4 linked regions of the Drosophila melanogaster genome follow. The protein of the gene in region 1 interacts with the protein of each later gene in a pairwise test. Each region holds a gene or a part of one and is shown in the gene's direction. Other genes may lie near its edges.

Evidence for each region.
Region 2: the proteins of Golgin84 (region 1) and CG5026 interact in a two-hybrid assay, tested with the Drosophila melanogaster proteins (one large-scale study listed by BioGRID).
Region 3: the proteins of Golgin84 (region 1) and CG12985 interact in a two-hybrid assay, tested with the Drosophila melanogaster proteins (one large-scale study listed by BioGRID).
Region 4: the proteins of Golgin84 (region 1) and Pis interact in a two-hybrid assay, tested with the Drosophila melanogaster proteins (one large-scale study listed by BioGRID).

The regions. Positions count from the first base shown.
Region 1 is NT_033777.3:24,354,008-24,361,518, reverse strand, and holds Golgin84 (Golgin-84), read left to right. Parts: upstream 1-3,580; 5' UTR 3,581-3,642; coding exon 3,643-4,978; intron 4,979-5,033; coding exon 5,034-5,248; 3' UTR 5,249-5,449; downstream 5,450-7,511. Other genes in the region: CG5762 (uncharacterized protein), read left to right, coding at 1-381, 440-628; CG18528 (uncharacterized protein), read left to right, coding at 1,453-1,641, 1,960-2,265, 2,322-3,308; CG6454 (uncharacterized protein), read right to left, coding at 5,741-5,803, 5,866-6,138, 6,195-6,581, 6,639-6,726, 6,780-7,511. UniProt on the Drosophila melanogaster protein: May be involved in maintaining Golgi structure and in intra-Golgi transport.
Region 2 is NT_037436.4:8,965,536-8,974,400, forward strand, and holds CG5026 (uncharacterized protein), read left to right. Parts: upstream 1-2,992; 5' UTR 2,993-3,379; coding exon 3,380-3,538; intron 3,539-3,641; coding exon 3,642-3,892; intron 3,893-3,962; coding exon 3,963-4,350; intron 4,351-4,412; coding exon 4,413-4,888; intron 4,889-4,947; coding exon 4,948-5,360; intron 5,361-5,413; coding exon 5,414-5,511; intron 5,512-5,567; coding exon 5,568-5,645; 3' UTR 5,646-6,217; downstream 6,218-8,865. Other genes in the region: CG5653 (uncharacterized protein), read right to left, coding at 1-827; CG5021 (uncharacterized protein), read left to right, coding at 1,434-1,457, 1,593-1,675, 1,747-1,981, 2,031-2,360; pix (pixie), read right to left, coding at 6,798-7,092, 7,150-7,866, 7,926-8,536, 8,599-8,811.
Region 3 is NC_004354.4:17,880,134-17,887,602, forward strand, and holds CG12985 (uncharacterized protein), read left to right. Parts: upstream 1-3,584; 5' UTR 3,585-3,674; coding exon 3,675-4,342; intron 4,343-4,506; coding exon 4,507-4,951; 3' UTR 4,952-5,105; downstream 5,106-7,469.
Region 4 is NC_004354.4:15,699,349-15,707,175, reverse strand, and holds Pis (phosphatidylinositol synthase), read left to right. Parts: upstream 1-3,405; 5' UTR 3,406-3,554; coding exon 3,555-3,606; intron 3,607-3,857; coding exon 3,858-3,992; intron 3,993-4,088; coding exon of another isoform or gene 4,089-4,147; exon of another isoform or gene 4,148-4,363; intron 4,364-4,513; coding exon 4,514-4,667; intron 4,668-4,760; coding exon 4,761-4,912; intron 4,913-4,990; coding exon 4,991-5,172; 3' UTR 5,173-5,725; downstream 5,726-7,827. Other genes in the region: CG9281 (uncharacterized protein), read left to right, coding at 1-47, 112-243; Hap40 (Huntingtin-associated protein 40 kDa), read right to left, coding at 1,725-2,583, 2,770-2,948; CG9240 (uncharacterized protein), read left to right, coding at 6,089-6,187, 6,369-6,770; CG8128 (uncharacterized protein), read right to left, coding at 7,311-7,827. UniProt on the Drosophila melanogaster protein: Catalyzes the biosynthesis of phosphatidylinositol (PtdIns) as well as PtdIns:inositol exchange reaction. May thus act to reduce an excessive cellular PtdIns content.

The DNA.
Region 1 (7,511 bases):
GTGAACCGTTGCATCGAGCTCCTCCGTGCGCGGATCGAATGCGCCTCAACGCGTCACATTGCCAGGCGTTCCCAGCGGCCCAGAGTGGGCAGCCAATACCTGCCAGACGATCAGATACTCAGGGAGCGGGAGAAAGCGGATGTGTACAAGAAGAACAAGCGACGCTCCATGTGGGAGCAGGACGAGGGCCACGGACGCATCTCGGTCGGGGACGATCAGGAACGCTTCGATAACGAGCAGTACCATCCGCGCGAACTGGAGAAGCGCAAGTACGAGTGCACCTGGGTTAATTTCCCGGACAGTGTGGCGACCAAACGAAATCGTAGACGGGACTTTCTGGAGTCGATGGAAACTGAGGCTCCTCGACGCCGCCGAGCCCAGGTGCCTATTTTTTGGAATATTTCAAACAAAAATCAATTTGAAATAATCTTTTTTGCAGGAAGAAAGACCGAGTACGGCAAAGCCATGTGACGACGAGGCCCGTGCCTTTATCAACCAATGGGACACCAATGCGGCGATGATCCAACGCAACAAATTTGCTCGTGCCACCGATAGCTGTCCACCACCCATTGTATCTCTCCGGTTGTCAAACGCCTACAGCACCCGAAAACGTCAGTTCTTATTCTAAACCGTTTATATTTGACAGTTGTATTCGCATCAGAAATTCTAGCAATCGCTCATTCTTGTAGCCTGATCAAATTGATAGTGTCGAAGGCATCAGATTTTAAAGCGTCCAAATCCGAAAATGTAACTGTAAAAATGTAACACATCTGCACTAGATGTGATATTTGTTACTAATAAAATATTTAAGTGTATTTGTCTTCGTCAAAAGCGGAGAGGGAATTTGAGAAGTTCATCACAGCTTGGCTAAAATTGGTCTCAGAGACTTAATAAGAACTATTTCTTACAGCTTTTTACCAATGCTTATTATTTTTATCAACTTTTGGTGAAATAAAAAAAAAAATTTTTTTTTTTCTATTTTCACATTTTTTATAAGGGGTAACAACGTCTATTTTTTTCAAAAAACGTCAAAAAAATAAAATTACCAAATTTGAACTCCAACCAATTAAGGGCTTAATTACAAGTTCATCGAGATATGTCATTCGATATTTTCCAACGCTTTTGACAAAAAATCTGATAATTATTTGACAAAAAATTACAAAAACTACTTCTGTCTAATTGAATAAAAGTGAATTCTTTCTATCCAAATAACAAAGAAATAAATAAAAAACGTTCCCATGTTTCAAATCCCATATTTCGGTCAAAATGGTTTGTGTCGGGACTGGAGATTTACCCAAGCTTACCACCGCTCCATAATTGTTTACGCACAATTCTTTAGTATATATCTCCGAGTGGAATGATATATTTTTGTAACGGCCATTCCGCGGTCACACTTAATATCACGTTCAATTGTTTATTATTCGGCGGTTGGGATTTAATTGTTTTTCGGCGATGGCGCTTCTCAGAAACGCGTCCCAGAGCTTCTTGGGCAGTTTCCGGCGCTTTGCCAGCAGCGGATGCACCATCTACAGCCTCAGTTCCGGTCATGTCAAGTGCGGTGTGTCCGTGATCCGTGTCTCCGGGCCGCAAACAAAGAAGGCCCTCCGAGCAATTGTTGCAAACAAAGAATACGAGCCAAAGGCAAGTCAATCGATATAAACGTTTATTATTCCATATATGAGGGGTCGTGACCTGTGCAGTGTATAGTTTTGTTTTCTAGTATCCAAAATATATGTATGCAAATGAAAAGACCTGTTGCTTATTTATATACATTTTGGGAGATGTATCCTGTATAAAAATAAACAAATTTCTCCTAACTTACATATAATTGACTAAATAAATTGAATAATTTCGTGAACTGCTTAATTTGTTATAATTGGCAAGCTGCCAGGTTTTAAGACGAGAGACCTCTATGATAGTGAAACTTATAGTTCCCTTTATAAATACTTTTCCATATAGGCTCGTCAGGCGTATCTGAAATCCTTCTACCATCCCGCCAGCAAAGAGATGATTGACCGTGGGCTCTTACTTTGGTTTCCGGGACCGGCTTCTTTCACTGGCGAGGATTCCTGCGAGTTTCAGGTACACGGGTCCCTGGCAGTCATTGCGGCCATGTTGGATGCTCTGGGAAAAGTGGATGGATTGCGGCCGGCGGAGCCGGGAGAGTTCACAAAGAGAGCGTTCTTTGGTGGCAAACTGGATTTGACAGAGGTGGAGGGATTGGCCGATCTTATCCATGCTGAAACGGAGGCGCAAAGAAAGCAGGTAGACAGTGGACTTAGGGTCTCATAAATTTTGTTTCAAGTCTCTTCTTTCTCCAGGCACTGCTACAAAGCACTGGAGCACTGGCTCGACTCTACGACAACTGGCGCCGTCGACTTATTCGCTGTGCTGCCCATTTGGAGGCCTACATAGACTTCGCCGAAGAGGAGCAAATCGAAGGCGGCATCATCCTGCAACTCGGCAAAGAACTAAAGGCGGTAAAGCGTGAGATTCGCGAGCATTTGAGTGACCAGCGGCAGGGAGAGCTCCTCCGCGACGGAGTCCGCACTGTGATCATTGGAGCACCCAATGTTGGCAAGAGTAGTCTGCTCAATCTCCTCTGCCAGCGATCCGTGTCCATAGTGACGGATCAGGCGGGCACCACAAGGGATATTATAGAAACAATGCACAATTTCGGAGGATACCCGGTGGTATTTTCCGACACAGCCGGATTACGCCGATATACTACGGATAGTATAGAGCAGGAGGGAATGCAGAGAGCCAAGAATTGTCTAGTCCAATCTGATTTGATATTGCTCCTAGCAGAAGCCAAGAACATTGCACAGCTGACGCACGACGACGCAGTTGCTCCGTTTGTAGATAGCTATCTGGGCGAGTTGGATATACCTCTGGACATGTGCTCAGGGAAACGTCTGCAATTGGTGGCCAATAAAACCGACACTTTGACGGATGAGGAGCATCAGCAGCTGGACAAGCTGTCCAACGTGTTAGCCATATCATGCCATAAGCCCGATAAGATGCCCGTGTTTCTGGGATCACTGGAGAAGCAGCTGCAAGAACTGTGCGGAGAACCGCGGGCGGAGAATCCACGCATCACAAACACACGCTACCGTCAGCAACTGGAGCGCTGCATTGAGAACATTGATATTTTTCTACGAGATTACAGACCCGACGTTTACCCGGACATGGCCATAGCCGCCTCCAAGCTGCGCAACTCCGTGCGCTGCATCGAACGCATCACCGGACACATCAGCTGCGAAGATATACTCGACGTGGTCTTCAAGGACTTTTGCATTGGAAAGTGAAGAGATAGTTTATAGTTGTGAGTTGCGAAGATTACACTGCCCATGTTGAGTATTGAATAAAATATTCATTTGTACCCTAGAGTTTTGATAAGCATAATAAATTAACATTTCTGCACGGATAAGAAAGATTGGAATTACATTTATTTCTAAAACCAATCCTTACATTTTCATATAAATATTTTTTTGATCAGAAAAAAGGTTTTTCAAAATTACGTTACTTTTAGAGTGACCTTAACTTTGGAGTTGACCATTCCGCAGTCGATAGCGATATGGGCACACAGTGTGATATTGTTTACGTGTTTTACTCGAAGAGATTTGTTTTTCTTAGAAAAATATGTCATCCTGGATCACAGGACTGGCGGACAAGGCCGAAAACATTTTGAACAAGCTGGACCAAAATGCGGCAACGGCCCTGCAGACAGAGAACGCCACAGGTTCAGCGGATCCCATGCGTAGGAGCATGACGAGCAGCACCCAATCACTGTCCACATCCCTGAAGTCCACTCTGTCGCCAGTGCGGCGCTCGGGGGCCAATAGCTCATCAAGTGTAAAAAGCGATGGCGGGGTCTCCGTGGTCACTAAGGACATGCGCCAAAAGATGACCACGTCGGCCAGTTTCTCCAACAGTCCCGACATATCCGCCAACTCAATGGACACAAATGAATTGGCTGCCTTCAAGATCGCCCTGAATGAAATCACGGCCGAAAGAGATGAACTGCGTCTGCGCTTGGAAGATCTTAATAACGAAACCGAAAAGTTTGATCTGCATCAACACACCCAGGTGCTGGAAGCTCTGGTTAAAAGTCTGTCCGAAGAGCGGGACAAGGCGGTTCATGACTACAATGAGGCCCAGGCAGCTAACATGGCGTATGTGCACTCCATCTCCGAACTGGAAACCAATCTGGCCAAGTTGCAGCAGGAATACATAAGCGCCGCTCACAAATTGCAAATGCAAACAAAGGAAACGGAGCAGCAGCGCCAGGAGCTTCAGGAATACCGTATCAAGGCTCAGCGAGCTCTGCAAGCAAAGGATTCCCTCATCGCAGAGTTGAAGGCGAAGCCCACGGAGGAGGGCGCAGATCCAAACCTGGTGTCCAAGGACAGTGAAACGCGTTTTCTGCAAATTGAACACGAGTCACTTAAGCAAGAACTAGAGCATGCCAACGAGGAACTGCAAAAGGCGCGCTTGCAGCTGGACGATTACGTTTCCCAGGAAAGACAACGACAGGTGGAACTAAGCTCTGCCCGCCAACGCGAGGAAACACTAGCAAAGGAGTTGCGACAGGCAAGGGAACACAGTGTGACCTCCGAATCCGATCAGCGAGTGCTCACGCAGGAACTGGCCTCACTGCGGCAGCAACTTAGTAACCAAATGGCTGCTGCCGCCACTCGACTCCAGGAGCGGGAGCAGCAGCTTCAGCAGATGCGTCAGCGATTGAGCGAGGAAGCCAACACGGGAGCCAAGAGCGATTACGAGACTCGGCTAAAGGCTTTAACCCAATCACTGGTCGAACGTCAAAGTCTTCTGGAAAGAGTTACGAGTGAGAGAAATGCCCTGCGACTACAGCACGAAAAGGCACAGACGCAGCTACAGCAAAACATGCACTTGGTGGAAATGGAGAGCCAAAGGGGCAGCTCCCGCCATACTATGCTCAACAGCACAGATGATGGTAAGTCTAACATTCTGCGAGTACCAGAAATTACATAAATATGAGTTCTACCTAGTCAAAGCACAATTCCCGCTTCTCATGCATCCAAGTCCATTCGATAATCGTGTGGCACGACGCTTCAAGCGAGCCCTTCGCCAGGCGGACTCCATGGGTATTCGGGTGGGAACGTTTCTGCGTCGCTATCCCATGATGCGGGTCTCTGTGATCGTCTACGTGGCCCTACTACATCTGTGGGTCATGTTTGTGCTGCTCTCCACTACACCAAACTAATCGAATCAAATACATTTAGTTGAGCAATTGTTGTATTTCCATAATATTGTATGTATTGTATTTTACGCGCCAAAATTGGATATCTAGTGGTACGAGTATATGTGTCATGTTTGTGGTTGCAACAATTGTATATATCGATATTATACTTGTGTCTCGCACTCGTTCTAAATTCAATATTCAATAAACATCAACTATGTACAGAAATTGCAATTGATTTAACGCTAAAAACATCCAGCAAACAAGTAACAAGACCGAAAAAATTAGCACTACTAAGTTAGGATTAGAACGATTCCTCACAGTTCAAATATTGCATAAAGAATCCATCTACAGATGCTGTAAAATTGTTAAGTAAACGTGAATTAGTTTAACTTCAGTTTAACTCCAGTTGCTGGGCAGAGCTGATAGTTCTAGCTAAGCGGAAGAAAATAGAGAGTATACGCTTTTGGGACGATTCGCGTAAAACATGCGCTATATGCCCCGCAAGTTTTTATATCAGTCATCGGCATGGTAGCTCACATAGACAGCATCGCCTCCGATGCTAATCAGGCACTGGCCCTAAGAATACAAGATTTCAGTATAAAAACTTTAAGGTAAGTAGATCATTGTGTTTGCCTTACCTGATTCTTGTGCTGATTATCGAACAACATAAGTTCGGTGATGTAAAAAGAGACCATGGCATTTCCGCCCAGCGAAGCGATGTGTGCTCTCACCACAGCCAACAGTTCGGTAATGAAGCCATGGACAAATCCGCTGATGCCACCATTTTCCCGGATCGACGTGCTCTCCCGAATAAAGAAAAAGTTTAGGTTGCCCAAATATTTATCTATACGACCACCAGGTATGAAACTTAGTGGCGTCACATCCACTCCATAACGATCTCGCAGCGGAAACTGTCAAGGAAATATAATATTAATATAAAGACATCATTAATATTTAATGTTCTTACATAACGGCTACGTTGAACAGATCCAACGTTCAATGGCTTAACTCCGGTTGAAGGCAATCCCGAAACGAGATTGTTAAGACGTGATGGTGAAGTTTTTCGCATTTTGAATGAGCTCATTCCGAATGGCGGAATAGCGGTGCTGGTTGGCGTGGGTGTGTCCACCATCTGATCCTCGTCCAGCGGAAATATGTAATCCTCCTCTTGCAGCATTCGTTTTCCGTTTAACTCTGGCTGAGATTGAGTGGCGTGCACCGTGCCATCATGATATCCGTTCTGCTGTTGAGGTGCCTGCTGCTGCTGAGCCGGGCGTCCACGTCCGCGGTACTTCATTCTGTTGGCATCGCTTAGGCCCATGGCCATGCCAGTGACTAGCAATTGAATTTGATCCTGCAGAGAACGAAGTAATTTAATCATTCTTGATCAAAGTCCTAGCATTTTCCTTACCGTCTCTGGCAGATCTAGTCGGAAGCGAAGATCGCAGATAGCACAGGGTATCATAGTGCGTAGCTTGAAGTATATGGTCTGCAACAGTCTGGGAAGGCAAATGTTTTTATGTGCTGATCCCAGTATGAAGTTTAGACCTACCTCTGAAAGTGTTTAGGGAAGCCGTTTACACTTTGGCCCACCTCGAGTCGGGCGCGCCACACTTGTGTGAACATCTGCAGATTCTTAACCGTATCCATTTCCAGCATGCCCGGCACCTGCTGCGTATTTACCACATGGAAGCCCTCCGGCGGATATGGCTCCATTAACAGCGATATGATTTCCAAGTCTTCGATATCGTCCACTTCCAGGACACACAACTCCTTGTTGCCACAGTTCAGATCGATCTCGTTCATCTCCTCTTCATCAGAGTCGTCTGTATCTGATTGTTTATCGCCAGAGGCTCCTGTGGAAGGTACTCCTCCGACATTGGCTGCCAAATCCGGGTCCAAGCTTTTCAGCTGATAGATCTCCTGGTTCCGTTCAAACGTTTCTTGTAATTTCTTCTGCAACTCATTTAGCTTTTGCTTGTCGGTCCACGAGTTGCCTGCCACGATCTTTGGTACCTGCGGCACCGGTAAAGCTGTGAGAAATAGAGCCGTTCCCGTGGCTATCAGCGCTATCATACGCTCGCCGATGGCAACTTGCGTGCGTAGCCCAAAAATGGCATTCATGCCCTTGGCCTTCAGCTTGTTGATCAGCACTCGATGAAGTTCGTACTCCAGGAAGGGCAGACCATCCGATATCTCTTTGGCGTTCAGCTCCGCACGCAGATCTCTTTTGGCGCGCACCACTTGGGCCTGCATGAAGCAACCTCTTCCGGTAACCTGCATA
Region 2 (8,865 bases), on another chromosome or scaffold:
GGGACGAACAGTTTCTCGTGCTGCTCCTGCAGGACTCCCAGGGAAACGGTGCAGATGACGTGGTCCGCCTCGAAGTAATCCCCATCCTGGCAGCGCAGGATTACCTTACGGGGGCACGCCAACTCAATCTTGATGACCTTCATATCAAGTTGAATACGTCCTTCCAGTAGACCCAGCTCTTCTGGCGTATCCGCGCTGACCTTCATCAGCAGCCGCAGGAAGCGCCGGTAACCCTTCGTTCCCCAGTGGAGCAGCTTGTCGCCATCACATTCGTGGTACTCGATGTGTTCCCTAACGGAGACCTCGAAAAGATTGTCCGCACCAATAATAGAGCTTTCATGCTTCGCAAATGTATTCAAGGCCTCACTAGCCACATCCCTATTCACTTGGGGTAGCTCGGACTCGATCTTGCGCCAGAAGGTCTGAGTCAGGTGGGTGCCAAAGGATCCCACAACCGGGTGAGGTCCACTCGGCATGCTCTTCACAGCAATGTCGTGAATCCTGCAGGCCAACTCATGTGGAACCACCTCCTTGTTGGATCTCACCCTCTTTATGGGACTGTAATAGTCGCCTGTCTCGTGCAGGATACCCATATCCTTGACCATGTCGTATACACAATTTTGCTGCTTTCCATGACACCACTGGGCTCCCAAATCGATGACGTTGTCACCAAAATACACGGTGTTGATCCGCCCGCCAATGCGATCCTCCGCCTCCAGGATCTGAACATTCTGGAAATTGTTTTGCAGGAGTCGAGTGGCGGCGGCTATGCCCGAAACTCCTGCTCCGATTATGATTATCCTAGAGGAGGCACGGCATTTTTCCATTTTGAAACGTTGGTAGTTAAGTTCGACAGAAAGAGCAGACGATCAACGAGCTACTGATGAAGTTTGTGGGCTAACTTGGCAAGTGATGGATGCTGCATTTCAATGGCTTCCACTGCGGTTGGAGTACAACTTTTTGCACACTCTGCTGGTTTTCAGCCACAACCATGTAACATTGAGAATCCGGGTCACAGAACATAAAAGTCGTCTTAGATAATATTGCTTCGGCTTTTATTACTTAATATGATGCGTAAAAAATTATGTTTCATAAATAACTTAAAAGTGGCATTTTTTTCTCATTTGGCGCTGCTATTGCAAATAACAATTCCACAAACAAAATGAAGGGGAGCTCAATAAAAAATGTTTGCAAAATTTTCAAATACGATAGGTTTAAGCTCGATTACTTATGGTGCTGCCAACCCAATCGAAGTCGAAGAAGTGCTTCACCCCTGCGAGCTATCGACTCAGTGCGAAAACGATAGAAGGCTACGCAGGCAGAAACAACAACAACGTCCCAGGCGAAGAAAATATATTAAATCCCCTGAAAAACCACGAAAATCCATGAAAATTGCACCCAACTAGGAATTAGAAGTCACTCCCTACACCAGCATGGCATCCGCTACGGTAAGAAATGTATGTATGCCGCACTAACACCTAACAAGCTGCTTGATTGGGGTGCCATTCTGACAATACGATCCGAGGTTTTCCACGAAAACTCATATTTTACAACGAGGCAAGCCAAACTAATCCCACATACGTGTTACACAGGTGCCGCTGCTCGACGATGACACGATACCCTTTGGCGAGGAGGACGAGATGCGGGATCCCAGTCGCGCGGGTCAGAAATACACGTATGCAGAACCATAATGTTTGTTGATCAATTCCATTTACCCCAACCCAACCCAACGCGTGTACTCCACAGGCACCCGTACGTCACCTTCTTCCACCTGTTCTTCAGGGGCGCCGCCATCCTGATCTATATGTTCTGCGGTTGGTTCAGCGACTCCTTCATCACCAGCTTCGTTTTCGTGGTGCTCTTCCTGTCCGCCGACTTCTGGACGGTGAAGAACATCTCGGGCAGATTGCTGGTCGGTCTCCGCTGGTGGAACTACGTCGACGACGATGGCGTATCGCACTGGGTGTTTGAGTCAAAGAACGTGAGTCACGAGCATAGCTAACTAGATTGCCCTTGATAATGAAACGCAGTCTGAATCCTACCAGAGTCGGGTCAACAAGAACGAGCAGCGCATCTTCTGGCTGGGACTCATCCTCTGTCCCGTCTTCTGGGGCCTCTTCTTCCTGTTCGCCCTATTCGGCCTGAAGTTCAAATGGCTACTGCTGGTAATGATCGCCATTGCGCTGAATGCCGCCAATCTGTATGGCTACGTCAAGTGTAACTATGGTGCCAATAAGGATCTGAATTCCGCCGCCACAGACTTTGTGAAAACGCAGTTCTTCAAGAATGCCGTGGACATCATGACAAGGCCCAGTGGCGCCCCACCGCCAACAAATGTACGCCCGACGGGAGTCGTTTGAGCTGGTGGAGACGCCATCTACTAAGTCACCTTGCCACCGTCTGCTGCAGCGCATTCCAAAGAGTATTCGACGCTTCTTCTGGCGCGGACCACGACCTTCGATTGGCATCGCTGTCTGTGTACCATATGTAAAACTTAATTTAGCCATACTGCAATCTACCATAATCATTTCTTACTTTTACTCGGATTAAAGGACCGCATGTGCGTGTGACATGCAACCAGTATGCCACATGGTTTTATTTCGAATGGTTTAACTACAAATTTAAGAATAGTTATTAAAAGGGATTCAGATATAGCGAAATGTGTTTTATTTTTATTCTCTGCATCTTAATCTGAGTACGAAAGACGTGAAGCAAATAATTTTCATTACTGTTAGATTACTATAAATTATTTAGTTTATTTTCTTTTTTGTCATTTTAGTTTCATATATGAAACTGTCGTAAACATATATTTAAAAATGAAGCGTAAATATAATCATTCCTGCAAAACTAAACTAAATGAAATTGCAAAACAATTTAAAAATATTTTTACATATTAAAAAACCTGATAATTTTTTAGTTCTTTGTTAGTGGCAATAACGGTTCATAGGCAAAACGCAGTGTGGTAGTGGACGCCACAACAAAGCTTTCCGGCTCAGTGAGCGACGGGCACACTGGCACAAAGCACAAAACAGAACAGTCGGTCGGAAACGGAATCGAAAAGAAAGAAAGAAATGCAATCTGTGCCGTAAGCGGGGGCGTGGAACAAAAGTTTTTGCAGCCCGGAACGAGTTTCATTGTTAGCTGCAGAGCAGCAGTGCCGTAAGTCCGCCAAATCCCCGCCAGAACCGGTGACGTACGCACTGCTGTGGGTTCAAAAAAGGGGACTCGAAAGGCGGGATAACCGTGGCGAAGAAGGGCGGAGGTGGAAGGCGGCGTCGACAGAAGCAATCAAGTGGCAACAGGAGATAGCCGGGGCAAAATGCAAAAAGTTAATTAGTGGGGGCCAAATCAAATCGGACACCCCGCCGAGGGCGACACCATGGAATTCGCCGACCTTATAAAGACCCCCAAGCTGGACGGTGTCCTGCTGCACGACCCATCGAATGCGGGGGCGTCGGGTGCAACAGTTGGCACACTGTGCATCACAGGGCACCATTTGCTGCTCAGCGCCCGCCAGGAAACCAGCCAGGAGCTATGGGTAAGTGGGTTGAGGCCTGCCCACCTAATCCGATGTGCTTCGGCATCAGTGGAGCGCTCATAATTGAATTAGAAATTCATCATGCTCATCCCCCTCTTTTCAGTTGCTCCACAAGAACATCGACTGTGTGGAGAAGAAGCCTAGTTTGTCGCAGAATATCGTGGTCGGTGGGATTATCACCCTGAAGTGCAAGGACCTGCGCATCATTTCGTTGGAGATAAAGTGCGGCAAGGAGTTCTTCAACGTGGCCGCATCGCTGGAGGCACTCAGTGCCATCCAGAACACCGAACTGCTCTATCCATTCTTCTACCGGCCCATGTACTCGATCCTAGAGGACGGCTACACGATGTTTAGGTGGGTACACGGCTTCTCCATAACTAACAAATTGGCTACAATTCAATTAACCTCCCCATCCAAACGACAGGCCCGAGCTGGAGTTCGCCAAACTCATAAGCGGGGTTGGCATGGGCGGTGCGTCCTCGCCGAATGTGGCCAACATAACAATTTGCATGCCATCAACTTCGACATCGACGTTGACTGTGGGCGCCGGCATTCCCCATCCTCTGCAAAATGGCTATGCGATAGAAGCCCTTGCGTGTGGTGTTGGTGGTGTGGGAGGTGGTGCGCTTCAAAGTCCCCAGGCCTCCTGCGAGTGGCGCATCACCAACGTCAACAGAGACTTCAGCGTCTGTGCCACATATGGCGCCACGCTAATTGTACCTAAAGCAATTACGGACGAGCAGATAGTGCTCTCCGCTGCGTTCCGCGATGGCGGCCGCTTCCCCGTGCTCAGCTACAGGCATGAAAATGGCGTAAGTCATTGCATCTACATCATCAAATTTTATTAAATTAATTCAATGATTCATATTTGCAGGCCACACTAATGCGCAGCTCCCAGCCGCTGTCCATTCAGGGCATCAAGCGCTGTAGAGCTGACGAGGCTATCCTTAATCTGGTGCTGGGTCGCAGTCGGAAGGGGTTCATCGTGGACACTTGGGGTAAGGGCAAATCGAATACGGAAACTGACCTGCACTACTCGCAGTGGAAGAAGGTAAATCGTTCAATTGGAAACGTCAGTTCGCCCGCCTCTATTTTGGACAGCTTTGCTCGGCTTATCGAAGCTTGCAACGATTTGGGATGCAGTACTGATAAATGGCTATCGCGACTGGAGAACAGCGGCTGGCTTAGTCTTGTGCTGAACTCACTGAACGCCTCCTGTGTGGTGGCCCAATGCCTGGACCAAGAGGGAAGTCCAGTGTTAGTGCACGGTGCTAAGGGGTTGGACTCCACGCTTATAGTCACCTCACTGGTGCAGATCATTCTCAATCCGGACTGCCGGACTGTAAGGGGGTAAGTAATCATATTCTCCTTACCTTGAAAAAGATATTTATGCCGTGTTCCCTTTGCAGCCTGCAGGCTTTGATAGAGCGCGAGTGGATCCAGGCGGGACATCCGTTCGCCTCGCGTCATCGCTACTCATGCTATACACCAAATCAGACACGCAATAAGACCTCTGGTGCCACCTTCGTCCTATTTCTGGATTGCATTTATCAGCTTTACACGCAGTTCCCCTGCAGCTTTGAATTCAGCACTCAACTGCTGATCCTTCTATTTGAGCACAGTCACTTTTCGCAGTATGGAACTTTCCTGTGCGATTCAGAGCGGGAGAGAAACGAACTGAATGTGCACACCAGGACGACGAGCCTGTGGTCTTATTTGAACCGGCCTGATGTCCTTCAGACATTCTTGAATCCGCTGTACGAGCCTAATGCCAATGTGATATGGCCATCGGTGGCGCCCATAAGCTTAGAGCTGTGGAGTGGTATGTTTAAGAACTTAATATATGAAACATTACTCATCAAACATGCATTTTAGATCTCTATTTGCGGTGGGTGATAGATCAACGCAGCTCAGTCACAGTCATGTCGCAAATTCAGGAACTTGTCACCCGCGAGAAGGAACTCAGGACTCAGGTAAGTCCACTTGAGTATTGATAGCGAAATGCTTACTGATGACATGTATCTTTCAGGCCCTCAAGTTGCGCAAACAAGCCATGGAGCTCGGCCAGGAAGTGTCCAACCTCATGAAAAGTGGAAACGATACATAGTCGGCTACCTCAAATGTTCTCTATCTTTTAATCTCCTGCATGATATACACTTATTTTTGATACGTTCTGTTGCAAGATTTCGACAATTATTTAAGCACATAGCAAAACTAATGTTAAGTCACTAAAAGTTCCATTTACAAGAAATTATGCTGAAGGAAAAAGAAAATAAACAAGGTAATTAAATTATTGGATAAACCATAGGATCTGCTTTTGGATCAACTGAAACACTCAATTTTAGACATACATGTGTCCATTTTTACTAACTATACTTCTATTGCATAAGTTCGGCAAAACAGTAAGAAAACTCTCCTTGTAAAACGCTCTCTACTCTCAGACTCAGATTGGGATTCGAAACAGCACAATGCAACTATCAAATATTTGGGTCAATTTTTGACGCATTTACTTTTATGGAATTTTTAGCGTATAAGTCTCCAAAATTACCTATTTATAGTACTTACTTGTGTCAGTTATTTAGTGGTCAACAAGCCACAGATCAAATTAAGTATTATAAACTCAAAAGATTTGCCTTTTTCGAAAAATTGTATGTAAATTTGATTAAATCGCATAAATTTAAAGCTTCAAAAGCGTTTACATTAAAAATATGCTGTGCATGCGTTGGTATATCTAAAAACAAATATTGTAAATTATATACTTATAAATGTTTGTAGCTGTTATTCATTGTGCGTCGATTTCGTATTGTGATCAAATTTGAAATGACAGAAATTTGTATGTAATTTACATTTGTATTGTGCGTATTTTGAGTAATTATCGCTTAAGTGCAATAAATACGTGTTAATTTGCAAACGTTAGCTCTTTTAAACTCGCAGGATTCTATGAGCACCACTTTAGAAAAAAGAACTTTCAAATGCAGTTTTGTATAAAGAAAATTGGTTTATTTTTGCTAGACTCATTTAAAACAACATTCTGTTGTTTCGGTTCACTATTTATTTCGCTGTAAAAACGTATATAAAACTCACTTTAATCAAGTACAATTAATCCCCAATTTTCGATTGTACGCAATCCTCGACAACAATAACAAATTAATTTGAAAGCAAATGTGTTCTTCAACGAAAGAATGCAAAATGAACGAAGGAAAGCTGAGGAGAACATAGAGAAACGAGCTGTCCCATCGAAGTTGCCCGTGATCCTGTCTTAGTTGCAGGCTTCGTCCTCCAAGAAGAAGAACTGGCCGGAGCGTTTCTGTTCTGTGTCCTTGACCGAATTGTTTTTGTTAATGCGGGGTCTGAAGTTGTTGGGATCGCGACGGAACGTAATACCAAGCAGTTCGAGGAAGCGGTTCATGCCATTTAGCAGCGACTGCGGCGAAAAGGCTGTCGTCTTCACTGAAGGCTGACCCTCGATCACGATGACACGGTCGGCGAGGTAGGTGGCCATGATGAAATCGTGCTCCACCACAAATCCAGTTTTCTTGGCGTGCAGAATGTAACTAAAACGAGATACCATCAATATTTGTGTGCAGATTTAAAGTCTATGTAAAACATACCGTTTGATAACCTTGGCGGCCACCAGACGCTGCTCTGAATCCAAGTAGGCAGAGGGTTCGTCGATGAGGTAGACATCCGCTGGCTTGCCAAGACACAGGACCAAGGCGACTCGCTGCAACTCACCACCGGAAAGGTTCTGCACCTCCTGGTCCATGATTTCCTCAATTTTCATGGGTTTCATAACATCGGCAATAAACTGAGGATGCACGTAGGCGTCACGAATCTTATCGTGCAATAAATGGCGAACATGATTTTGGAATTTCGGGGAAATCTTCTGGGGCTTGTAGGAAATATTCAGCATAGGCAGTTCCACCTCGCCATCGGGTTGGAGGTTACCGGCCAGCATGCGAATGAACGTCGTCTTTCCTGTACCGTTCTCGCCCAGGAGCACCAGGATCTCGGAGTCGCTGAAGTGACCCTTTTCCACCGTCAACTCGAACTTGCCCAGGGTCTTGACCATGGCGGGATATACGTAGTGGTTCATGCGCTTGATCTCCTCCTCCGTAGCGGACTCAGATACTTTGAAAGTAAGTGACTCAGTGCGGAATCGCATGTTTTCGGTGGGCACAAAGCCATCGAGGAAAATGTTGATGCCTTCGCGCACAGAGAAAGGCATAGTAACCACACCGTAGCAGCCGGGAACTCCGTAAAGGCAGCATATAAAGTCAGACAAGTAATCCAGCACAGACAAATCGTGCTCCACCACAATAATAAACCTGCATATTACAGAACCACGTCATAATTTTAAACAATGGCACATTATTCATCAACTTACTTGGTGGGATGCAGGAGTGATCGAATGGTCAAGGCAGCGTTCAGACGCTGCTTAACATCCAAATACGAGGACGGCTCGTCGAACATGAAGATGTCTGCATTCTGTATGCATACCATGGCGATGGCAAAGCGTTGCAGTTCTCCGCCAGAAAGCTGAGCGATCTCACGATCACGGATGTGCGATAGATCCAGCATTTCACAAATCTTAGTCTGCAGCTCCCTCTCGTCCTTCTTATCCAGAAGATCGCCCACAGCGCCACGCACCGCCTTGGGGATCTGATCCACATACTGCGGCTTGACCAGCGCCTTCAGATTGTCCTCCAAGATCTTGGTGAAGTAGTTCTGCAGCTCGGAGCCGCGGAAGTAGCTAAGGATCTCCGTCCAGTCGGGCGGATTGGCGTACTTCCCCAGGTTCGGCTTTTGTTTCCCCGCGAGGATCTTCAAAGCGGTCGACTTGCCAATACCGTTCTGTCCCACAAGACCGAGCACTTCACCGGGACGCGGAATGGGCAGACGATGCAGCTTGAAGGAGTTCTTGCTGTATCGATGCGTTGTGTGCTTCTCCAGATTGCTGGGCAAGTTGATGATTGTGATGGCCTCGAAGGGGCATTTCTGGGGAATTGAAAGCACGGGTTATTCCGGGAACTACAGCAGTTGTAGGTAAGCTGACCCACCTTGACGCAAATACCGCAACCGATGCACAGCTCCTCGGACAACGAGGCTATCTTGGACGTGGGCGTCACCTCGATGCAGAGCTTGCCCATGCGCACCACTGGGCAGGTCTTCTTGCACTCCTGCCGACACCGTTTGGGCTTGCACTTGTCATCGCTGACGATGGCAATACGCGTCTGCTTGTCCACCTCCTCGTTCTCCTTTCTGCGCGACATGCTGTTGATAGTTTTCAAATGAGCAAATTAAACAGAATTGGCTTCGATCCACTA
Region 3 (7,469 bases), on another chromosome or scaffold:
TAGCTGCAATAACGACACACACACCCACGCACTCCCACACAAACGGACAAAACAATAGAGTAAAAAAGCTAAGGCGCACTGTGCGAAACGTTGGCCAACTAATTCGGCTTTTGGTGCAGCTGGCAACCCTGTCCTGCGGCTGGGTGGTCTACGAATATCTTCGCAATCGGATCACAAGTCTACTCCCCCAACTTCTGGGAAAAGTACTAAAAATGCCACATTAAGATTCCTAACATTACAGTAATCATTCGCGAATAGTGACATTGATTGCTATCAGCGATTTTATCTAAGAGATATGCCAAACTAAATATGCTCAATTTCACTTTTAAATAATAAAACATCAATAAGCTGAGGTCTGGGTTTTACCGCAAATCCCTATATTAGCAGGCCAACTAAGCGAGTAGCCACTGTAGCGGGGGCATAAAAAATACAACTTTATGATCGGCGGCGGCCGTTTGACGTCAGAATCGCTTGGCTTGGCTGTCTGTCTGTCGGACTGCGCCAATGTACGTGTGGTGGTAGTACACATGTGTATGTGTGTGTGTGTTGCCCTGCCGCTCGCGCTCTCTTTCGTCTCGCTTTCGCCTTTCTCCACCGCCCACCCACTACAGCCACCCACCGCAGAATGAGAAGAAGAGAGGGGAGCACAGCACGTCATGTGGTGACCCAAATCGTTCGTGTGACTTTTTCCATTTGCACTCGTTTTGTTTAATTCAATTTGCGTGCACATTAAATGCTGCTACTAAACTAATAATTGAAATAAATCATATTTTTGCAACAGCGTCTTTTTCTATTTCTGCATTCCTTTTCTTTTTTTTTTTTGTGAACTCGATTTTATTAAAAGTGCAACATGTGGCGACGCCCGAGAAAAAAAAAGAGGAAAGAAAACGTTTTGTTATTAATACGGTGGCGTACTCACACATTTGCCTACATACACAAACTTATTTGGCTATGTGCGTGCTCCAGATTTTCTAGGTGTCTACTAAAAATACCTTGTAGGCGTTTTCCGCTTCTTCTGTATTCATTAGTATCGCTGATTAGCCAAGAACGAGAAGAGTTAAGGGAATTTGGCAAGGAAATAGTACGGCACGTCTTCCATAACTTGAATCGAAATCAAATAACTTGGTTTTGTCTCAAATTTGAAGTTCAATTTCGTGGATATTAGCTATCTTCCAAATTTGAAGTGCAAATCATGCAAGGAAGTTGCAAATTCTAGGACGCATTTTTCATTTTGTTTTGCATAGCGAGGTACCACTGTGGCAGCAACAACAATTGGACATCAGCGACATCAAAACGGTTTTTGCGCTTTTGAAAGCACTTTTTCAATGGAAGATTGTGCGATTGTGCAAAGAAAGGCGAAGAATTTATGCTTTCTTTCTCTGCACTCCCCGCAGCCCTATTCCCGTCCCGCTCGCACGCCCCGCAGCAAGTGCGTTGTAGATCAAGTCGAGGCGCGATAGAGAAGAATCGAAAGCGAAGAAGAGCGGAGAGAAGAGCGAAGAATGTAAATGCCGCCGCTGACCGGCTATGTTTATTATATTTATTTTTGCTGCTGTTTTATTTTTCTTTCGTTGCTGTCTTATTTATTTTTCTGTACTTTTCTTTTTTTTTTTGTTTAGCTTGAGGTGGTTCAAAGTTCAATGACCGATTTTGCCTTTGCCGAAACTGAAGCGAAATGAACTGAAATGAACCGAAGTGAAGTGAGCGGCGCAGTCGCAGAGCTTTGCTGCCATCTCGCTCCCACAAACACACAAACACGCACACACACACACACACACACTGGGGCACATGGCCACACACAAGGTCAGTTAATAAAGTTGATTTTTGCTCAATACGCAATAGCGCAAAAATGTGCAAATAAAAAATATAAACACTAACAAGTGGCAAGCGAAAATACAAAAGACAACAAGCGGCAATTAAAAAAGAACCTTTCATGAAGTTGTTTTTGTGATCTCTCAAGATCGCGTTAAATAAAAACTTATCAAATGCACAATATTATGATAAAATGTGGTAATAAAACATAAATGATGTTGGCAATGATTAAATTTACTTCTCTATAAATCAAAAAGAACATAAAATGAGCATTTGGTTTGTATTATAAAGTCTCTAAATCTATTCGAGCGAACGATACCATATTTTCATAGTTTGCGATACTCATAAGATCACATTGGAAAACAAGTGTATGATTTCCCTTGCACACTTGCTGTCAATTGAATTGAACGTTCTGCCATTTTGCAACTTTCTTATAGAGAACATGGCCGTATCATTCCCTATTTCCGCCACTGTACTGACTGTTTTGTATTTTGTATGGTAATTGAAAACTGCGCATTCATTGATGACGGATGACGTCGCAGCTTTGACAGTGGCATTGAAAATTTCAGTTTCGCAAGCAGACTGCAGTAAACTGGTGACCAGTCGGCAGCAACAACAACAATGATAATGAATGCAGGAAGAACAAGAACAAGAAGACTACAATAACGATACTATATACCATGTATGTACATATATATATATATATATATATATAACAAAGGAACTGAATGGCCGGCATGAATTTCACTTAATAATGTGTTGCCCGAAAAACGTTTTTTTCCTCTGCATCTATGGAATTTCATCTTTCAAATAACTCATCTTGAATCTTAAATCAATTATGCGGATAGCATGTTTTCCCTGACTTTTATGCGTAATTTCAACGAAGAATTTGAATTCTCTCACGGAATAAATGTTAGTATATTCAGTGTAAATGAAAAATACGCAAATATCTATTATAGCGCTATCTATGTATCTATGAATCTGTATCTACAGATCGTTGCAATTGTTGATATTACTTCCGCCAGGTGGCGTTTTCCCCACCGCCAGTTAACTGCATTCATGGTTTCTGTTTTCCGCACACTTATTTATTTGGCCGCACTGATTAGAGACTGGAATCACAATAATAATAACCAAAACAAATGGCAGCACGTGCTTAGCATCTGGTTTGTTGTGATAAAGTGCGACTTTTCCCAGCCCACCCACACCTATGCCGCTTTCTACCCTTTCTCCGCTCGCCACACGTGCTTGCTAGTCAGCTAACCAGCTAGCTAGTTAGTCAGCTAGCCGCTAGCTAGTTAGATACTTAGTTAGCCAGCCAGTTGGCTGCGTCAGCGTCGCAATTGCGCCGCAATTGGGCACTAATGAAGTATTCTTGATACGCATTTACACTGCATTGGGCAAAGGGAGAAAGAAGGTGCGAAAGGTGAGCAAGGTGCGAAAGCTGCCAACTGAGGTGCTGATTACCCATCGCTATGGCAGCCATTTATCCTGCAGGACAATGGGAAATGGGAAAGCTGGAAAAGCGCTGGTGGAAAAGTATGGGCAACCACTCAGCTCAATTAAAAAATCGTTAAAGGGCAAACAATTGCTTTTCCGTTTCACAAATACGTTCTAGCTCTTTTAGACGGTAAGTTAAGGGGTTCCCATCATCAATTAAACTGATACTATGCGAAAGTACTAGAAAGCCAGCCAACTGTAAAGAATCGCAAAATACCCTGAAATATGTATATATTCTATGGAATATCTAGTAGTTTTGAAAGCAGCAGCCTGAGTCGCTTTCCTCAAATTCCGGATTCAAAATGTATATATTTCCACCATATACCCTGCTCCTTATCATCCTCCGCATTGTGAGTGTCCGTGCGATGAGCTTCGACCAGCCCCACAACGAACACGACGCCTCCCTGGCTAGCTATTTGGACAACACCAACGATGACATATCTCCCCAGGGCTTCAACGGCGATGGGAATGGTAGTTCGGGGGCCACAGTGGTGCCATTCCCTTATCTGGGATGCACCACAAGACCGTCCTACCAATCTGGATGTGAAAGCATGGACGAAAGCGCTAGGGACCGAGAAAAAGATCGCAATATTGATCGGGATCGAGGCCGAGATTGGGATCGAAATAGGGGTTGCGATAGAAACAGGGATCGGGACAAAGACAGGAATAATATTAGAGATAGGGACAACTGTGACTCCTGTGACGAGATTATCAATTCGCGGCTGAAGGCCACCCACATTGCCCAGAATGCCGCCCAGGTGGCCAAGGCAGCCAATGATGCACAGGCGGCCGCCGCTCAAGATGCATCGCGGCAGGCGAAGATGCAGCTGGCGGAAAAGGCCATCTCCGCTGCCCGTGCCGCCGATGCGGTGCTCGAGGGCAAACAGGCAATGGTGGACAACTACGCTAGGGAGATCCGGGATGCCGAGGAGGTGGTCGGACAGGTGAGCTGCTCGCTGCAGAACAGTGAGACGAACGTGGAGGCCTCCTGTGCCGTGGTCAAAGCAGCGGAGGTTCAAGCCGAAACATTCAGGTATAATTGATAAATATTCAATATTCAATATTGTTCACAATCCATCCAACTATCTACACAATTTAAAAGCGGAACAATTATATCGTTATATCTATCATAATATCTACCAGCGATAACATATCGATTTTTAATATCAATGCTTTTTCGATTACTAATGTTTTCAGGGCCCTCGTACAGCAGACGAGTGGCATTTTGTCGGAAATGGACAGCCTAATCGACCAGTCGAACATGGATATCGAGGAGAAGAACCAAATGCTGGCGGCGGCGAAGGCACGTGGTGACCGCCTGGCCCGCCAGGTGGCGCAAGCTAAGTCGGAGTACGAGCAGGTGAAGGAGGCGGCCTGTCGCGCCGCATCCGCCGCCGTGGAGGCCAAGCAAAAGGTCGGCACCGGCAGTTTGCTGTACAAGTCGTCGGTTCACCGCCTACCCACTGTCGCCATAAGGGCCAATGGAGCGCGCGGTTACGCACTCGACAGGAACACCTGCAATGCTCTCCTGGATCTCTACAGGCAGCGCCGACGGCAGCAACAGCGAATGCGGCGGGAGAAAATCCTGAACGGACTGGATCGCTATCAAGGGAATTCACTGTACGGGGATCACTCGTACTAACAAATGCGCTCCCTACTAACGGATGCTACGTCCACAATTCTGTTTTTCTAAACGCTGCAAATTATTTTAACTCTATTTGGATAAGAGTTTCGAGATTTTTCAACAATTTCAGTTTCACTTTTTGAGCGTAAATATGAAGTATTACCTAAATGCGAGTTGTATAATCCTTGTTTTCTTGTTAATTTATTTCCTACTTTTAAGATCGTACTAAATAGCTTGCACATATCATTACAAATCATTAATGTATTGTCAGTTATGTACATATTAAAGATCTTCCCCGTATCGAGTGACCACCGTAGCTGCTTCAATACACAATTGTTTACCAACAAATTCGCCTGACAGTGTCGTAATTCTTGCGAAATAAACAATAACAATGGGAAATGAGTGCAAGGCCAAGACGCAACGAAACACGATCGCAAAGAGGAGAAGGAGAGTGGGAGGGGGAATAGAGAAGGAGATAGTGTGGAAAAGCCATCTTGTCCAGCGGAAGAACGAATGAAAATCACAGCTGCCAATGCGAGGCTGCCAGCTGTTTGGATTTTTCCTCCTTTTCCCTTATGTATTTGTTTTTTGGAAAAATTGTGGGCGGTTGGGTGTAAAAAGTGCAACGCAAGCAGGGTTGCCACCTTTTGCGGCTCTGTTGCGTCGTTGTTTTTATTGCTATTTTGGCGTCGCTTCATGGAACTCGAAACGGAAGAGAGTGAGAAGGAGAGCGAGAGGGCGCGCGCAACGAGCGATAAAAGAGAGCAAATTCAGGGAATACGTATAAATTGAATTATAACTTTTAAGTCCTTAATTAACACATCAAGTATATTTAATTAAGCAATTACCGAAGCAACCGAACCCATAAAATAAATCGAAAATATCTAGTCAACTAAATGTTTAGATTGATATTCAAATTTTTGTATAATCCAACTAATTAAATGTCCTTTTGAAAAAGATACAAAAAAAATGTAAGAAATCTCTTCTAACGCTGCATTTTCCGCATAACAAGATGAGCATTTACAAAGACTGCAGTCTAATATAATGAACCAAATGGCCAGCTGACAAATTTAAATTGCAATATGTTTAATAAATACCATAAAACCGCATTTAACTGAAAAAACATCGATTTAATAAACTAATGGCCACAAGCCAATTGGACTTTAAAATGCCGGCAAGTCCAATTGGTTTGCCTGCTGGGCGCATAACAGCAACGCTGTTAACGCCTAACAGCACGCTGTATATTGCTGAACGCTTGAGTTTCGACTCTCTTTCTGCTCTCTCTTTTTTCAACCTAACCAAACAGCAAAAACAGAAGCATAAAAAGGCTTACTTACATTTGATTTTCGACGTTTCTCTTTTTTGGTTACTTTATTTCCAGGCTTTGGGCTTTGTTCAATTCGCTGCGATTATTCCACACATGTTTTATGATACTGCTGTTGTTGTTGCTGCCGATAGTTGCAGCTGCCGCTTATGTTGTTGCTGTTGCCACAGAAAAACATGTTTCACGTTATTCCCCTTTTTCTTTCCTTCCTTCGTTTTGTATTTGTTGTTGTTGTCGGTGGCAAGAGAGGGACGTCGATATGTGACGCGCACACACACACTCACACACACACGCAGCGGGAGAGAGAGAGAGTGAGAAAATGCGATACGAGGCAAACAAAAAAATTTTGCCGTTTTTCGTTACTCGTTGTTGTTGTTGTTGCTGCTGCCGCCGTTGCTGCTCCTTTTTCTATGCTTTCATTTCGAAAACGATCAATTAACAAACTTTATACATTTTCCCATCAATTTTCGACGCTCTCTCTGCGGTTTTTCATCTTTTCCGCCCGTCTGCCACAAAAAAGAGCGCGTCTCCGCAATGTACAAAAAAAAAGCACACACCAAATGAGGAAAAAAAAACACGCACACTCACGCACGCAACACACGCATACACAGACACGGGCGAAACGGAGAAAATGCTAAATAAAAAGCACTGTGTAAACGCTTTTCCCGTTTTTCCAGCGGCCACACACGGCCAGCTGCACCGACTATATATTATTATTTTATTTAACACGCCGCCTGTGTTTCCGCGCTGCGCATTTTGTTGCTGCTTTTAGGTGTCTTGCTTCCCTTTCAGAGCTGGGTTAGCCACTCGCGATGATATCGATGTATCGGTGTATCGGGCGGAACGGTGGTGGTAGACAGCCACAATCGGGGCATCGGTTGCAATAGTAGCCGATGGTTTACGATTCGATGTTTTGGGGAATCGGTTTATTTCACCTAATTGACCATTTTATGCGTATGAGAGAGCAATTCGCATTGCTTGATGCGCAATAGATAGCATTTTCTTGAAAAGTATATGAATTGATTTATAATTTTTAAATATCTTGCCTATCGAAAAGAACTATTCGTTTTAGACCCCTGCAAGCCAGTGCTAATAGCGGCTCGATAAATGTGCATCCGAATTAATCGATACCACTGCCAAGTGGTTGTTGCACAAAATAAACTTAGCCAGTACAGCCTCCTGCCTAAGCGAGCTCTCGAACCAATCAAGGTG
Region 4 (7,827 bases), on another chromosome or scaffold:
ATGGCGGCATGGTGCTAGTTAGTCACGATTTCCGTCTGATTAATCAGGTAAGCTAACTTTTCCTTCACGAATAGTTATCACGTTTGTAATCGCGCATTCTTTTGTTTCCAGGTGGCTGAGGAGATTTGGGTATGCGAAAAGGAGACGGTAACCAAGTGGAAGGGCGGCATTCTGGACTACAAGGATCATCTGAAGAACAAGATCACCTCCGAGAACGAGAAGAAGGCCAAGGCGGGAAAGTAGATATATCCCATATCCAGTGGATAGATAGCTGCCAACGGCCACACACTCGCACACACACAGTCGCGCATCCAAAACACCCAAACACACAACCAAACGCATCCCTCAACCGAAAGGACATTCAGACCGCTATCCCTTCTCTTCAATAGGCGGCGGGCGACATCCGGCTATTGGGCTGCCCGTTCGCTGCAATCCATTCTGTGCGAAATTAGTTTTGCGTTTACTCTACGCTATAGTGAAGTCACAATTCGATCGGCCAACCAGTAAAATAATCAACAATAAAACTAGAACGAACCGAACACCCAATCCAAACCTATCCAATCACAACCATGCGTAACACAACCGTTGACAACTCAACAGGAACACACAAATTTTAGCTGAATTTTTTCTTTTTACGTGTCGAATTAAAGTTATAAAATTATAAATATATACAATTACGAAGTGGACAGGCAGAAAGAACTATAACTTATAAATACAACCAACCAACTATATACAAAACTGCTTGTGATCTTGCGCTTATATAATTTCGTTTAATTCTTCGCTAGGTTTCATGTAAACATATATATAAAAAATGAAAAGTGTACTTTATTTTTTTGTAATTTATTTAAGCCTTAACTATATATTTAAAAATTAAAAAATCTAAACTACAACAACAGACGTATGAATGATTAAGCGAATAGTAGTCGCAGCAAATTGTGTGAGAAACGATGTTAAACTGCCCTCCCAAATCGGAACCGTGATTTAGTTGCTCGCGGATTCGAACAAGACAATTAAATATTCTTCGATTCGATTTAAAACACAATGCAAAGTAAATGGAAATTGTAACAGGCTTAGGAAGGATTAATGGGTATTACATGAAACGTACATGCATACATATATGAAAATTTACAAATTACATAAACAAACAGATATTATAGGATATTTAACAAATTGGAATTGTAAACTCCAGCGAAAAACAAAAAAAAAAAAAGTTTTGTAAGCAAACACAAAGAAATCACGAAATTCGATTCGGAATATCAGTTGTGGCACCCGAAGAGTGTCGCATTAATTAGCTAACTTAATTGAGAAATTGCTAAGAAACAAAAAACAGAAGTTGCTTGACAAAGGTAAAATAAACAAATTAAATGACCAAAATATTGCATTACTATTAATAGGGGGCTTCATAGAACATCTGTTGGATTGATTAGAAACAAGTTGGTGGTTTGTTAGTCATCTTTATCTTCGCACTATCATGCGCATTCCTCTTCATTTATTGTACAAATCACAAATCCTATTACATTTCATTGCGCTTCGCACCTTCTGTTTATTGCTGCATTCACCTGGTCATTCGTTTGTTAATTTAATTCAATTTTTATGCGTGTAGGCACGTTCAAAGGTTAGTTGGTAGACTTGGTTACACTTAAGCGATAGTTGCATGTGTCATTCTCATTCAGTGGTAATGATCCAGTAGTAAATAATGTACAGTACGATCTTAGGTCTAAAATCTAGTAGCTTCGGGCCAGTTCTGCATGCATCACCGCCAGCAGCTGCCTTTCCATGTCGCTCAGCGATCCAAATTCGGCTCCAAAGTCGCGCAGCAGGTGCTTTAGATCGCACATTTTACGCTCCACCCAGGCGCACGTAATCTCCGCCAGCGCATACTGCTGCTGTTCGGGCACAAATGCTCCCGGACGCTCCGCGGATCCACCGTCGTCCGCCGAACAGGGGAGCGACTCGAACTGCGCCAGGTTGTAGTAGTACTCGATCAGCTTGATGTGGGCGGGTGACTGGCGTGCGGGAGGCAGGTTCAAATGGACTAGGAGCAGCAGACGCAGCACCTCAACGCGCCGCAATAGTTCACCGTACATGCGAGCACCGCGTCGCTCGTAAACATTGTCCACAATGTCGTCGTAATGCTGCAGTGCACTGCGAAAATCGCCGCGCTGGCCACTCGTTTCGGCGCTGATTTCCAGGTCATGGATCTGATGGGTGGGCGAGGCAAAGCTGCTGGTGCTGTCCAGCTGCCGCTGCAGCTGCTTCAACTCGCGCAGAATGGCCGCCTTGAAGACGCAACCGTCCACCGCTCGATCCGCCGCACGGTGATAGCAGTGCACCGCTCCCTCCCGAAATCCCGAGTGGCGGGTGCGCAGATGCAGTCGCCCGGACTCGTTGTGCGCCGCTAGGAAGGATCTAGCTGCCCGCAGATAGGCCTCCGATTCGCGCTGCGGTGCGCCGCCGTAGGACTCGCACTTGGCATAGCCAATGTGGCACATGGCCGCATACTGCTGTATGCCCGACTCCTCGAAGCTGTAGGCCAGTCGCTGGAAGTCCGCCTGCACATCGACCACGCTGGGCGCAAAGCGTCTGGGAATTAGAGAAACAGTGGAGTATTGAGATTGTATTCCGTGATTCGAGGGCTTCTAATACACCCGTATTTCTAAACATAGTTTGAAGATGGAGGAAAAGCGATAAATTGGGCAATGACTTGCTAATCAAACGCAATGATCTGCAAGGTATCTGATTGCCCATACTTGGGCCGTAGCTACTCACTTGAAGAAGCCGGCCCGCTCGAACTTCTTGATCTTGCTGGAGGCCCTTAGATATTGCTCGATCAGGTTTTTGGGGTACTGATACTGCTCCAGTTGGTGGTGCTCATGGCCCGGAGCCGTCGATGGCGCGCCGCTGGAGGATCCGCCGCCGCCCAGACTGCCGCCGCGGAGTTTATCCATGCTACAGCATGTGGTTCTCCGCGCAGGTTACTTCGGGTCGCGCTACTTGTGCATTATATTTTCGCCTGTATTGTGTTTTTATTATTATTTGTGAAAACTTTATCGCGGGCGGTGTGACCATGCCATGTCCCGCTGAGGAATATACTAGCTTAGAAGCGGTATGCAAAGATCCATTTACACTGCTCAACGGCAGCGAAAATGTATCAAAACGGCACGCAAATCGCTGTCAAAACTCATTTAACAAGCAACTACACTAGTTGCCCGGTTTTGGTAGCTCATGTTAATAATCTAGTGACCTTTAATTTGTATTTGATACATTTAAAATGATATACTAATTACTAAATTTCTATTGGAAGAGAAAAATAGAAACTAGAAACAGATGTGTGTCAGTGGAAACCATCTGAAATCTTGTTGGCCAGTATAGTTCGGTATTTTCTCTCAAGTCTTTGTTTGTTTTTTCCAAAGGTCACGCTGCGGTCACACCAGATACAGCAAATTCTGTTTCCACTGTTTTTTCTGCAGCACTTTTGGCATTTAATTGGATAAAAACAAGCCGCAAAGCTAGAAGATCGCAAAATAAACGAAAAACCAAAGTGGCGAAACAAAATGACAATTGCCGAGCACGATAACGTCTTCATCTTTGTGCCAAATCTGATCGGTGAGTGGCTGTTTGTAGGTTTTATTCCGTGCTCCAGCTAGGTAAACAAATCGCATGTTCGATTTATGCGGCGCAATAATAGCGATTCTAGTGTTCCCTAATTGGATTAATAGGGGCTGTTTGGCAGCTAGTGCAATGCGAAGCGCAAGTTCAGCGATAAGAGCCGCTTCGTCCAACCCAATTGAGTCACCTCCAATGATTCTATACGTATGATGCACGCATATGTGCTGATTTATATTGATCTTTTCCAGGCTACGCCCGCATCGTTCTGGCCCTGATCGCCTTCTGGTTCATGTCCACCAACTATGTGATCTCCGGCTGGTGTTATGTAACCTCCGCCCTCCTGGACGCCGTCGATGGACAAGCAGCCCGAGCCTTTAACCAAAGTAAGCATTAACCATGCGATCGCCCTTGATATCGAAATGCCAGCTCATGCCAGCTATATGTCTGTATTTGATTTGTGCGCGCACTTTGGCCGCTAGCGCATTGCAAACACCTGTCTCCTCCGTACTGGTTATCTGCCGATATTGTGGAATTGTAGGCACGCCCTAAAGAGCCCGATATGGTCACGGCTATCCAGCCAATCGATGGATGACGTGGGGCTGAAGAATAGATAGAAAGCATGGCTAATATTGCCTTGGAACTATGCAATGTAGTTAGCAATATAGGAGGAAAAACATTAGGATAGAAGCCTTCTAAGAAACAAATTGCAGATACCATGCAATGTTTATGATATAGTAGTGTAGCAAACTGAAAGGTATGATCTTGCACTTGGATTTGTTGTATGCTAGCAGGATGATTTAGAGTCTTAACGAAAGGGTACTCCAACCAAAATATGTATATCAAAATATTAGTAATTATCATATGGTACTATGGAATCTTTACTAAATACTCGATTACCTCACAGGCACTCGCTTTGGCGCCATGCTAGACCAGTTGACCGATCGCTGCGGCACCACCGGCCTACTGGTCACCCTGGCCTACTTCTATCCCCGGTACATGTTCTGGTTCCAGCTGTCCATCGCCATCGACGTGGCCTGTCACTGGCTCTTCATGCAGACGTAAGTGGGGCAGGGGAAAGAGCAAGATGCTGGACGTCTGGACTGTCAAGGAATGGAAGGAAACTAATGACTCGTGGCTTTGTCTTTTTGCAGGAGCGTTGTGGTCGGACGCAGCTCGCACAAGGTGAATGACAACTTCATAATGCGATTGTATTACCAGAAGGACATACTCACATTCATGTGCTGCGTCAATGAGCTGTTTTACGTGTGCTTGTACCTCTTGCATTTCACCTACGGCCCGCTGAGTGAGTATACGCACACGCACATGCTTTGCATTTCAGCTGGCGAAACGTATCTAATCCGTTGATGGACTTCAATTGCAGTATTCGGCGCATCGCTCTTCAAGATACTCGCCTTCCTCACGGGTCCCTTTGCCGTGCTCAAGGCCCTGATCTCGGTGATGCACGCCTACGTGGCGGGCATCGATCTGGCGGCCGTGGATGTACGCGAGCGGCAGGAGCGGCGCCAGAAGTCGGAGCCGGTGAGCGGCAAGAAAGTGGAGTGAAAATGGGATGCGATCCGGGATCAATCTTCCAGCGACAGTTCTATCAACAGAAAGTACTAAATGAAACAACTCTTGATTCCAAGCTAAAAAAACAGAATTTTGAAGACGAATTGCGATCAGATGAAATATGGGCATTAGGCAACCAAATAGGCCGTAGTAGGAATTTAATTTATTTTTAATGCGCTATTGCAATGATTGTTGATTTTATTTGATATATTTTAGTTAGACGGGTGGTGAAATCACCCGACAATTTGTATTTAATAGATTTTTGAATTGAAATTTAAGCGATTCGTTCCAGTCAGTAGCTGTTGCATATTTATTTTGCCTTTAGTTAGCGTAGTTTACACGCTATATATGTATATATATGCCAATGCGTAAATGCAGGCCGATATACTATGAATGAGTGTCTATTTCCAGGATTTATCTCACTGTGCACGTTTTGGGTTTGACTAACCACCTTGTCCCAGCAACTCTCTCAATGTAACTAATGTATTTCTAATCGTAAGTTAAAGAATGTAATTGGAGACCTGCATGAAATATATACGACAAATGGATGTTAGATGTATTTGAAACATTAACATATATGTACCATACATGCCAGGCCTGGCAGACTTAGTCAAAATTGAAAAGTGAAAATAAATATATGTGGTTCTATGCGCTAAATTTTAGTTTAACCTTTTGGGCCATCGATTTTTGAAATTTGCGCCACACAAAATTTATCGTTAGACATCAAAATTATCGTTGGCACATCCCTGGCTGGCCGCTCAGCTGCGCCGCCTGTGCAGCCCTGATTTTTACACAACATAAACATTCGATTTTGGAGGAGCTCTTTTTTCGAGAGAATACCAGGTCGTTGGACACGGGAGATGCTCTGATTAGGGGCGCATGTGGAGCAGCCAACGCCGGAATCGCCGACATGAAAATCCTCTCCCGTCTGGGTCGCCTGATGCGCTACACGGTGGCCTACGCGGCAATCACACACTGCACCTTCGAGTACATTGGCGATTTCGTCCTGGTAAGGCGTCTAGGATGAAGTTCCTGGGCGGGTATACTTGCCCAACATGTGCCAGCATCACATAGTTCGTGTGAATGCATTAAGGTACTCTCCACTTGTTTTTCCACCTTGTGTAACTTCCACTTGATATCCTTCTTTTGCGGAAAAGTACGTACACTCACATTAATGCAACCATTTCCAGTGCAAAGGACCCTCCATGGAGCCCACCCTGCACTCGGACAACGTTCTTCTCACCGAGCGCTTGTCGAAACACTGGCGAACCTACCAGCCCGGCGACATAGTCATCGCCATATCGCCCATCAAAGCCGATCAGTTCATTTGCAAGCGTATCGTGGCCGTTTCCGGTGATCAGGTGCTAATCCAGAAGCCCATTCCCATTGAGGCGGAGTTTAGTGGTAATTCGGATGACAAGAAGAAGCCCGTGATGGTCAAGGACTATGTGCCGCGCGGACACGTTTGGATTGAGGGTGACAACAAGGGAAACAGCTCGGATTCCCGCTACTACGGACCCATTCCGGTGGGCCTCATCCGGAGCCGCGTGCTCTGCCGCATCTGGCCGATATCCGAGGCCACGGGTCTATAGATGGCATTCGTACAACAAAGAGTTTAAAATCAACTTGACCCAATAAATGGCCTATGTTTCGTTTGGAAATTATAGTACATCAAACCACAACTTTTTAGAATCATTACGTATGCGAGTTTCGTCTCATTTGTGCGACTTCTGGTTTTTGCATATCATTGAAAATAAGTTGAAAAAAACAGGAGAGAATAATAATTTCTTTTCATTTTTGTTTTTAATAAACATATTTTTCAAAGTATGAAGCTTACATCCTTAATCCTTATTGGCTTACCTTCTAAGGAAGTATTTACCATGTTTGGGCGTCATATTCAAAATAATGCCATATTTTAAATTATTGGCGTTTCTAAAAATGGTATCAAAAGAAAAGCTTTTGTAAAAGGCTGTGTGAGCTTTAATTGATATATGCATATAATTATATACAAAAAAATTCATTTATTGACTACATTGTGAACATTTGAATGCGCAGTTGTGATGCTGCTGGCTTTTGGAAGAAAGGACTTTATAAAAATTGCACTAAGGATTTGGCCATTGCACCGACAAGTCTCACGAATTCTTTTTATCCTGCTGCTCCTGTGGCTGCTCCCGATCCACGTAATACAGATTGTATTTCTTCTTTAGCACCTGATGCACTTCGTCGCGACAGGTGAGGGTCAGGCCGCGCTTCTGGTAGTCCAAAAAGGTGCAGACGAACTGCCTGTTCGTCTCGTGGACCTGCGGATGCTTCAGATACTCCGCGATGGGCATCCACTGGATGCGCGCTATCTCGCGTTCGCAGCGCGTAAAGTCCAAATTCAGTGGCTTTAGGGCGATGACCACGTACATGTCGGAGCAGCCGAAGGTGCCGCCATGGGCATGCCGCAGACTGACCACTGAGCGGAATTCGGTGCGGATTCCCGTCTCCTCGGCCACCTCTCGTATTGCCGCATCGATGAGATTCTCCCGCGGCTCCACATAGCCGCCGGGCAGCTTCCAGCTGTTTGGTATCATTGCAAAACGATCGGACACCACCAGCACCTCGTCCTGTTCGTTGATAACCAGTCCGCCGACGCCCATTAGCGTG